Coturnix japonica: one gene and its partners. The protein of the gene in region 3 interacts with the protein of the main gene of each other region in a pairwise test. Links are inferred from orthologs where the notes say so. Each region holds a gene or a part of one and is shown on either strand. Other genes may lie near its edges.

Region 1 (3,519 bases), on a different chromosome or scaffold from region 3:
AAACAGGTCTTTGTTTCTTTTGCATGCTTCTACTCGGATCCCACGGGCAATGCAGACACTTATTGCAAGCGGGCTGCAGGGCAGCACTCACAGCACTGCTCTGCCCATGGAGCTCCAAGCCTGCAAGGAGTTTCCTGGGGGGAAGGAAGGAGCAGCCAGCAACAGAACCAAGGGATGAGACAGAAGATTTTAGGCACCATCAAGATATACTGTCTGCTATTGGAATTATGAATAAACACGGTAACAAAAAAGGCTTCCCTCGACTAAGGAAATTCAGCTAGCTGCAAAATCCAGCCGTATTGGAGCAACCCTGCAACAAGGCTTGGCTTTCTTTGCTCACACAAACGTGGAACAATGCTTCTGTAGATCCAAGGAGCTGCCCAAGGCAGCTTCCCAGTGGAAAAGTCAGCCTTTCCCCTTCCTGCCTCATACGACTGCTTGGAGAAGGCGGCTATTTAGATGTGCTGGGATGCAGCAGCTCTTAGGGCTGACTTCAGGAGTTCCAGTCACAAGCACAAATATGCACTGAGCCTCACCAGCACCGGAGCTCACAAGACCCAACGTCAAAGCACTCGTGTAACAGGACAGTCAATGCTACAAAGAGAAATCACTAAACACCCACAGGCATCAAGCTTAAACCAGGGTTGGTGGGCCTGCCCTGGATGGCAGCACACACACACAGCAGCATCTGACACCGCACACAACACAAGGAGAGCTCTGCATTGACTTGAAAATCTTTGGCTTTTAAAGAGGGCTGGGGAACGTACAGGCATGACTAACACAGAGGGCAGAGAAGTCAGCAAAGGATTTCACGCATCGTGTCGCTGAATACCGCACTTCAACTTGGGATTAAGATGAGTGGCAAGGAAATTTCACTTTGCTAGACAACACAGAAACTCATAATATAGGAAATTTAATATTATCTTGGACACAAAACTCTGCTGAATGCTGCCTCCAGTCACTGCAATAGTAATCAGCTCCGTTTTGCTGCTAATCCCAACAGTCTGCAGGCATTACAAACAGGAGTAACACCACTGAACTCATCTCTAACAGCACGAGGGCACAGTGCCCCTACATCCAACCAGCACCACATGTGCTCAATCCATACTGAAATCCATCCTGTGCTAACATCCCAGAGCATGAAGTTTAGCTAGAATTCAGTATCTGAGAGCTGTAACATGCATCGTGTTTATCAGCATCCATCCACACCAGGGGGTCTTTGGGGGGATGCTCAAGTTACAGAGCACACATTGCATCCACCCACCTCACTCAGTAGAATTCATGGCAGTACAGACCAAGCAGGAGCATCACTTTGGACAACAGGTATCAAAATGCATCCATAGAGATCTGAGCAAACCCCCAATAGGGTGGGGGTGCCAATAAGGTCCCTGTTCCATTGAGGACTGCTTGGGCTGCAGAGGTTTCAGTCAGCAGCAGCCACAGGCTGAGCTCAGCACAGAGCACATCTGCAAGCAGCATATCACACAGTCCAAACACAGGGCACGGCCTTAACAGAGACCTGCCCTAAGGGCTGCAATAAACTCTCCTGGGGAAAAATGCTTTTCTTTGGAAGAAGAATTTCTCCCGTTCTTTGACCTGTCCAGGCCTCCCCCCTTGATGATGATTTTCCTCCTCCACACACAAACTCACAGCTAATACTAATGCAAACAGCATCCAGTTAACACCACGTTAGGCTGCTGTCACCATTTAATGCCACTCACAAACAAGAAGATTCCCAGCAGTAACCTCTTCCTTCATCTCAGAGGGCACACTCTTCCACCAGCACTCAGACCAAACCCTTGCAGAGGCAGCTGAACAAAACATAAAACAGAACTCTGCCTTGGTTTGCAACAGAGGTTCCCATTGCAAAAAGAGAAATGTTTCAGGACAGGTCCAATGCACAAGCAACCAGACACAACTGCTTACAGTACTTTGGGTCTGCTGCTCGACAGCGTGTCCAGGACTGCTCTGGGGGCATGAAGAACATCTTCAGAGCTGAACTAGGAAACAGGCCACCAGTCACACCACGCCGGTCTTAACCTTTCCTGCTTCGATCCAAGCCCATCCAAACACGTCCTGTAACACCCATGTTCTCTACCTGTCACCTCTCAGCTCACCCTGCCAGAAGGAAGCAAAGCACGACTGCTACTCACAGCGGTACGTGGGGCTGCTCTGGATCTGCTTTGGTCAGTTCCTCCTCCTCGACGTCAGACTCTCCTCCTGAGCTGCTGTCAGTGACATCCGAGTCAAACGCCTGCTCGCTGGATCTCAAGTTGGCCATGCCACTGGCCGTGAATCTCTCCAGTTCTTCCGATATCGAATCGCTCTTCAAGAAGCTGCTGAGACCTTCTGAAGTAACTGTCTCGCTCGCAGCTTTCCTCAAAGCTGCTTCTGCTTTTCTGGTCAACATCAGCTGGCTGCGATGCCTCACAGGGTCCAAAGTTGGAAGCTTGCTCAGAGTTTTCTCCAAGAAGCCGCCCAACTGCTGCTGGATGTGTCTCTCCACCTGCTTCGCCTGCACCACCTGCAAACGTTTCTGCAGCCTCCGAGCACGGTTCTCAATGTCCGCCTGCCGTCGCAGCAAAGCCCTCGTCCTCATCTCCGAGTCGAGGGTGCTGTGATGGCCGGCGGACAGAGAAGGTTTCTGCTCCTCCAACCTACTGCTCCCAAAGTCCGAGTGACCGCCAACCCCGGGCAACCTGGTCTCTCCGCTGCCCCCCTCCAGCACCTGCTGCTGCTCCGTGGAATTAAGGGAAGATTTGTTTGCAGTGCTATTATTGCTAAAAGGAGTCGTGCGTTCCGCATCAAGGCTTCTGTGTGGAAGAGTGCAATTGGTCAACCCGGCCTTCAAGTCCCCCAATTCAGAACCTCCTGCATTATAGTCAACGCCCTGGAGGGCGGCAGCAGGAGCAGCACACTTCCCACCGTTCAGAGCACTAGAGTTTTCATGGTCTGAATTGGTGCTTTTGGCCAATTTCTTGGCCAAGCCGTTCACAGGTGCTTGCGGGAGAGGTGGCTGGCTGTTAGCACTCATTGTTTTCAGATTCTCCAAAGTAAATTCCAACACCGGTTGCCTCCCCAACAGATCACTCGTTTTCAAGAAGGACTGAGATAACAGAGAGTGAGATTTAAGGACTGTCTGCTTGTTGAAGACTCCTTGCAGCTTCAGAGGCTCTTTTGAAGAGACAGATGTTACATCCGAGCAGAGATAAGAGGCCACTAGTGGCTGCAGCTTGCCCAGCTCTTCCTTCGTGGGGCTGTTTCGGAAATCTAAACTGGGATCCTCCGGAGCGATGGCTTTCCTTTTGGTGCCGTTGGCAGCCAGGAGGATGTTGTTGGCGTTGCCGTTGCTCTCGGCACTGCCAGGTGACAAGGTGGAGGACGGGGGAGCCAGCTTGAATCGGATGTGGTGAGCTTCAGCTGCTGCGTCAGTGAGAGCGGGCGCCATCGCAGCCATTCAGCACAGAGACACGGGAAGTCCAGCCTCTCCCGGTGCCGAGGCCAGCTCCACTGCCTCCC
Region 2 (3,888 bases), on a different chromosome or scaffold from region 3:
TAGGTAGTATTACAAAAATGAACAGTTTTTTCAGAGAAACTAAAGACTGAGTTGATGTTTGTGACAGCAGTATCTAAGGTAGACAACTATTTTCTGTGAATACAAAAGTTAAAAATGGAATTTTTCAAGCTCACGTTCTCCATATATTTTTGTTTTAGGCAGCTCTTGAAACACACAGAAAACAAGAGGAGAAGCAGAAAGACTTGACATGCAGATCTGCAGGTGCAGTTAATGGTGATGCAACTCTCCTTAAAAAAGGAGCAGTCAGGAAATCTGAAGGCTGGCTGCCTACATCGAGCATATCTCGACAGAGTGAGGTGGCAGACCCACTTCTTCAGCAGATTGACAACATCACATCCTTCATTGAGCAAGCAAAGGCAGCTAATAGGCTGGATGAGGTCCGTATGTTGCAAGAAAACCTGAGGCAACTTCAGGATGAATATGATCAACAGCAAACTCTGAAAGCCATTGAGCTTTCTAAAAAACAGGCAGAAGAGGAAGAGAAGCAGAGGGAAGAACTTCAGTTCCTTTGTGAAAAAGAGTGGGAAAGAGAACACCACAAATCCATGTCTCAGCATTCAATGACAGGCTCCTTAGATTTCAGAGAAGGCAAGCAGCATCAGTATGAAGCTGCAAAAGAGAATCAGAACTTGTTAGCACATAGATTGGATTTAGATATTACTCAAGTGAAAGGGAACCGAAGTTCTGAAACTACTGCTGTTCAGCAGATTCCAGCCAAAGAGTACGTAATCGTCCCAGTTAGACACCAGAATACTCCACAGTGTGGCAAAGACCAAAATCAGGCAACCTGTCTAAACCCCTTTGAAGATGAAGCAGATACCCCTCTGTCAGAGGAAGATCCCACTAACCCATTTGCTGAAGATGTGTCTCAACCGGTTTCTTTCTCTAACACAGCTCTGCAAAGTGACAGAAAAGAATATAACCCATTTGAAAATGGGGAGGAAGGTGAACAGACCAGTGGAGCATCTGTCAGTACTTCAAATCCCTTTGAAGAGGATGAAAATCCATTTCAGAAGTCTGGGAACAATTGGAATTCTGGAAATCCATTTGAAGAAGGATCTTCTACCAATCCCTTTGAGGTGGAAGATGTAACTGAGATCTTAAGAGAGGAGGCTATAGACGAGGAACTGCTTCTCCAACAGATAGATAATATCAAAGCCTACATATTTGATGCCAAGCATAGCGGACGAATGGATGAGGTGGAACTACTGACGGAGAACTTAAAGGAACTGAAGTACACTTTAGCAAAACAAAAGGAGAAATCCAACTGTTGAAGCAGCAATCACACCTTGTAAGAGTTACCTCAAGTCCGCTGCTAAGAGATGGGAAGATGGAGCAGTTATAAACAGCAGTACAGATTACAAGAAGGAATTGGGAGAATGTTATATTTTATATGCTTTCATTTATATATTCCCAACACTACTCAGCCTTGAAGAAAGAAGAGGAACGCTGCTAGTCTTGAACACTTATACTAAAAAAACTTATCATAAGTTGTTACAACCATCTTAATGCTAATTCGTCTTACTGTGTGTTTAATTTGGTCAAAAGGCTTAAGCAGTAATAGGGAACTGTCACTTTGTTTTATGGTTGGTTTGTCATCTTTCCTCCTTGTTTGCACTGTGTTGTTACAGCAGCTGAGCTACTGGCTTTTCAAATGGAGCTTTGACCGAAAAGACAAAAGTGTTTCTAAAATTTCTGCATCTTCTGCTAATGGCACAGTGTCAGGTACAGGCCAGTCTGACTGTCCTAAGAGAGTTACAAGGAAGTGCTGTTGAAAGGCTGCTATGATTCTTTGAGATGCAGGATATACAGGCCATAGGTCAGTTTTGTGCAATAGTACATGAAATGGATTTAAAAACTAGTAGAGACTTCACTGATTTTAATATGAGTAGCATTTAAAGTGTGCTTATAACAATTTCTAACTGAGGTGCCACCTTGTTACTTTTAGTTTCCCAGTCCCTCTAGGCACAAATTGCAGTGTAATAGAGAGCCACGTTGGCTTCAAAGCTACGTGTGTAGGAATGAATATGTAGATGCTCATTTCCAGAACATCAGGCTAGTATTAAGGGTGACCTTGAAATTCCTGATTATATTCTGGAATGTGCACTTTCCTTTATACTCTCTGGGTTGAAGAATGATCATATTTGTTTACCTGAGACTTGAATCCTTATTGTAGCACTTTAAGAACAGAAATCCTGGAGAGCTGAAGTGCCACTGAACTGGAATTCTGTGAGAGCTGGGCTGTGATTGTGCCAAATGTAAGTTCCTATTTTATATTTGATTCTCATCAGAAGTTAAAAGAACCAGGCATGCGAGTCTTCAGTAAGCAGGTCCAGATGGGAGTCTTGGTTTGGGCCTCCACCCATGGCAGTGACTGGGTAAAGGCCATCTCCTGTGGTGCAGGAGGGCTTCTGGAGATTGGTACTATAAAAGTTAGGATTGTTCAGTGTTAAGTTAGTGTGTTTTGCTGCTTTCCCCACATTCCCTCCCTTTGAGAGGCAGAGGTCCATCTTCAGACATAAGTGTTTGAAACGGTGGTTGGGAGAAGTTAGTTAGAAAGGTGTATCTAATTAAAGCTGAAAAGGAGGATATTGGGCAGATCATACTCTCTTGCTCTAATAGTAGTGGGCTTACTGAGAAGTAGAGTTTTGTGGAGTGGGACATCTCTTAACTATGTATCCAATAACACATGAATAGCGTAGCTGTAACTGGGGCACTACTTAGTATTTCAGAAACACAAATTATCACGCTACCTAAGCAGCAGGAGCTGTAGATTTCTTTTAAATACACTGAAGGACTGTACTTCTGTTTAAGGCAAACAAAACCAACAGATGTACCCGCAGTAAGACTAATAACTGATCAGAATAACTCAGTACAGCAGCTTCAGGACAGCTGTACTTCTCACTGCAGTTTGAAGTTGAAAGGTGCACAGAATGGGTTTTCTCAAGGACTTCAGTTTTTTATACCAGTGCATGTTGTTAATGTTGGCTGTATCTCCAGGCGTTACTGTGAAGTGGGCCGAGCATCTGCAGCAGAGTTCTGAAAGGCCGTAAACTAAACATAGTTCTGTGCTGTGGCACCAGGTGTACAAAGGCAGCAGAAATGACTGAGATGAAATTTATCCCAAGAATTGCTCACTTCAAAGTGAATAGTCCAAGTCAGTTTTTCAAGGCAGACTATGGCTGCTCAAGAGGAGTGCTTCTTGCATTATAACCCAAAGCTCTTCGTGGTATTGAGATGAAAAGAATATTTCAGTGGCTTCAGCACTTGCATTTAAAAAGCTTGTTTTCCTTGTTGTAACCATCCTGCACTACTTGTACATTCAGCCTAATTAATAAAATCCTTCTGTACATGTGACTGTACTTGTACAAGTAGCATCACGATTGCTGACAGCATTAACTGCGGTACATCAGCCTCTGATACTGAAGTTCTCTCCAATGCGAAGACCATGTGCTGGTATTTGGGCTGCTGTGAGGCTCCCAAGGCACAACAAAATGAAGACAGCTATAGAACTAGTAAGTAACTAGCGCTGAGATGGTACAATTGCATGCAGTACTCTGTATAGAAATGTGGTAAACGAGAGATAAAATAACATCTATTTCGTGCTGTATTGGCCCTTGATAATTCAAGCATTCCTTAAAAATGGGTGTGAAATGTTGTATTCAACCATTAGCTCAGAAATGCTGATAATTATTTCTACAGCAATTTGCACATACGAGCCTGATTTAATGCAATTAAATAATTAAAAGCAGTGTAGTGCTATTGCGTATTTATATACTGTTACAGGTATAGGGTAAACCATTCAAAGCAGAAACTACTATGATCTAAAACTGTGGCAGGGGCCAGTAGCATCAGAAGTAGAAGATG
Region 3 (3,352 bases):
AATTCCTGATGTGGATTCACTACCGCTGTAGCGTGACATTTCAGTGAGGTGCTCTCTTCAGCCACTGTAGCACTCAGCTGCTAAAGACAAGTATAATACGTAAATAAAAACTGTTTCTAATTTTTTTTTTCCTGCTCTTAATTTCCTTTCCAGATGTCCAAAATTGCTGTTATTCTTTAAAATCCCATAAGATTAACTTCCTTTATCTCATTGCTACAACCAACTTCTCAGCTGTCTTTCCAAGGCCTTTTGTCTTACATTATACTCAGTTTCTAATATTTCCTATAGGATGACAATTGTTTGGTAATATCTACTTTTTGTCTCTTTTCTCTAAACATTTGTGCTAGGAGAACAGAAGATATGCTGATGAACAACTCCCCTTCCCCCTCCCCCCTCCTTTTTTTTTTTTCTTCACTAAAAATTAAGCAACTCTACAGTCATTAGATAGATCTGCTTTTATCTTCTTGAAAATCATAGATTCTGCCATGATGTGAGCTCAAATATCCTTCCTCTGGAGGATCCTTACAGATCTTTCACAAGACTTTTTTTTAAAGAGAAAATCACATGGGCAAAAAGCTTTGAGACTACGTTACAGCATTGTAATTGCAGATAATGGATTGGATTTGTATGACATTGCTTCCAAGTACTTTAGCTTACTACTTTTGATACATTGGACAGTTTTTGCCAGTTTTTCACTGTAAGATAATAGGACCAGAACAGAATCCTTGCTGAAACTTGTTCTGGGCTCCTCACTTTGACACTGGCTTTACATTTGCAGCACTGGATAGACAATTTAAGCATGAGGGAGTCATTTACATATGGACCCATGCAAATACCTGGGTTGTTTTTTTTTTTGTTTGGTTGGTTTTGGGTTGTTTTGTTTTTGTATTTTTGGAATGAATGAAGCTGGTGATTCAGACATAACCTCCATAACATGGATAGAAATTCCATGCTCAGCCTTATGTCGTGTGATTTTTTCCTAGCCATAAGGATATGCTTGACAGTTACTGATTTGCAGCTGACTGTGGAGTTATGAGTAACACCACGCTGTTACTGAAACACAGATTTTATTGAATCTTGCTGTAGGTAAGACTATGCAGTCATCGTTCTTGTTGCCCCCATCTTTCTATTGGTTAAGAGCTTATTTTCCCATCTTCTACTCTTTTATTCATCCTCCAATTTCTCAAATGTTTCAATTTTTCATTATACCTGAAAAGAATTTTGTAATTGCTTGGGATATTACAAATAACAGCATGTAGTCAGAGGCTGCGCATCAGAAGTAATTAAATTTCAGAGGCTTCATGGTGTTCATATGTTGAAGAATTTTCAGCAGAGCCTCTTGATTGAATTGCAGAGTGGTAGACGGTCCAGGAGCACTTATAAGAGAATAATGATGTTTCTTACTTCAGAGAAGCTGCGAGGCATAATTGATTTGTCCTTGTATGGTGGCTTGAGATTCTAGGATAAGAAGTTTATTGGGTGCTGCTGTTACTGCCTGTGAGTAGTCAGAGACAGAATCCACTCACATTATTAGAGCTGTCCAGAAATTGGAAATACGCATGAATACTCCCGGTGAATGAATTAAATCATCCTACTAAATATGCATAAACACACAGAGATGAGATTTTGAGGAAGTGAAACAGAATCAAAAGCAGTGAAAAGGGTTTTCAGAGGCCTGTAACTACCTGAAGTAGTGTTGTTTTGCATGGCTTTCCTGTGGTTCTGTGTAGTCACTATTTTTCAAAGGGTAGAAGCTTACTTTTTATCATTGCATAACCTGAGTGTGTCTTTCTTTTCTTGACATTGTGTTGACATCAGGTTTGCGTAAAATAACATTTCATAACGGATGGACTCCATAAAGGATAAAGCCTGTCCTCATGCATTATTCTTCCTCTGCATTGTGTTTTTGAAAGTGAGTTGTTTCAGTGTCAACCTGTTTCACTTCCCGTGAAAAAGTGCATTTCAGGTTCTCTCATAAATCCTATTGGTGAATTACTGCTAGAGTTGAGCTTATTTCTTTTTCCCTTGAGCCCTTTACAGTTGCAATTCAGGGTCCTTGCCCTGTTGTATCTGTATAGCAGGGAACACTGGCTTCAGTACAGTTGAAAATGGCCTTAGTTTCATTCACAGAAAAGTGGTTTTTAGTTTATGTCTCTAGCTTAAAAACCCACCCTGTATCCAGCAGGAAACCAACAGCTTGTGTGGCTGCCTTCACAGTATAACATCTTCATCTCCCTCCTTCCCATGAGAACAGTATCCAAGCAGTATCCTCCATTCCCTCCCCTTTTACAAGTGCTAAATAATGCTACTTGAGAACTTTGCCTGGATTTTTTTTTTCTCTTTTCTTTTTGAAAGCAAGTGAGAGCAATGTATTAATATTTAATCCAAACAATTTGGAAGAACTTAAAGCTACAATGAGATAGCCATGGCCATCTGGTGTGAGCAGAACAACCATTTATTAAATAACTTGGAAAGAGAAAAGGAGCTGCCAATCACCTATAGAATTATTCCTTAATAAAGCTTGCACAGTCTCTGCAGAGGGAGATCCAGGTGGTGAAGGAGACACTCCAGACCGTGCTGCTGCAACTGCAACCAGCCAGGGAGGCAGGAAGAGAAAAGGCTGGAGACTTCCTCTGTGACAGCTGGTGTCCAGGAAAGCAGGACTCAAAGGAATAATGAGCAGAAAGAGCTGGTAGGATGACATTAATTCACAAAGGGCTGCTTTTAGTAACTGAATACTCTTTTACCAAGCCTCAGGGATCTCTTCCCTCTCTGCATAACTAATAACTAAATCAATTATGGAGAAACAGAGCCTGGAGGTCTATCATCAGAAGTATTCTACAAAGTCTCACATGTTTTGGCACAGATTGGGAAACAGCTTTCAGAGCAGAGCATCCCTTGTAAATGTGTAGATTACAAATTGATACATTTCAAGTGAGTCTGCAAAGCTGCCTTTAATGTCAGTGAAATGTTCTCCTTGAAGACTTGTAAACAGTATCTGTCTTCCTTACTCATGGATTTCTTCCCATTTAAAAAATGTAGTGTTAAAGCTGGAACATCTACTATTTCTCAAAAAATAGCTGTAAGTATAAGAACTTCTTTTCTTCTTTGGCTTTAACAGTTTTCTTACACTGAATGTATTTGCACATTCCTGCCAATAATTAAATCAACAGGATGAAATTCAAGCTAACCAAGTTCTTTCAAGTGAAATTTGAAGCTCATTTACACAATGGTATTGAGTACAGTAGAGGTAACTAATTGCAGCCCCTACAACATTAGATCAACTATTTTCATGAGGTATTAATATGAACTCGTTTTAGTATTACAAGGGTTGTAAAACGCACACACACAC

The links.
Region 1: the proteins of DISC1 (region 3) and KANSL1 interact in a two-hybrid assay, tested with the Homo sapiens proteins (2 studies listed by BioGRID and IntAct). The link is inferred for Coturnix japonica from reciprocal best matches to the Homo sapiens genes DISC1 and KANSL1.
Region 2: the proteins of DISC1 (region 3) and RBSN interact in a two-hybrid assay, tested with the Homo sapiens proteins (2 studies listed by BioGRID and IntAct). The link is inferred for Coturnix japonica from reciprocal best matches to the Homo sapiens genes DISC1 and RBSN.

The regions. Positions count from the first base shown.
Region 1 is NC_029542.1:2,325,659-2,329,177, reverse strand, and holds part of KANSL1 (KAT8 regulatory NSL complex subunit 1), read right to left. Parts: 5' UTR 3,458-3,519; coding exon 2,154-3,457; intron 1-2,153. UniProt on the Homo sapiens protein: Non-catalytic component of the NSL histone acetyltransferase complex, a multiprotein complex that mediates histone H4 acetylation at 'Lys-5'- and 'Lys-8' (H4K5ac and H4K8ac) at transcription start sites and promotes transcription initiation.
Region 2 is NC_029527.1:17,051,120-17,055,007, forward strand, and holds the end of RBSN (rabenosyn-5), read left to right. Parts: intron 1-158; coding exon 159-1,295; 3' UTR 1,296-3,383; downstream 3,384-3,888. UniProt on the Homo sapiens protein: Rab4/Rab5 effector protein acting in early endocytic membrane fusion and membrane trafficking of recycling endosomes. Required for endosome fusion either homotypically or with clathrin coated vesicles.
Region 3 is NC_029518.1:35,477,934-35,481,285, reverse strand, and holds the end of DISC1 (disrupted in schizophrenia 1 protein), read left to right. Parts: intron 1-2,527; coding exon 2,528-2,676; 3' UTR 2,677-2,845; downstream 2,846-3,352. UniProt on the Homo sapiens protein: Involved in the regulation of multiple aspects of embryonic and adult neurogenesis. Required for neural progenitor proliferation in the ventrical/subventrical zone during embryonic brain development and in the adult dentate gyrus of the hippocampus.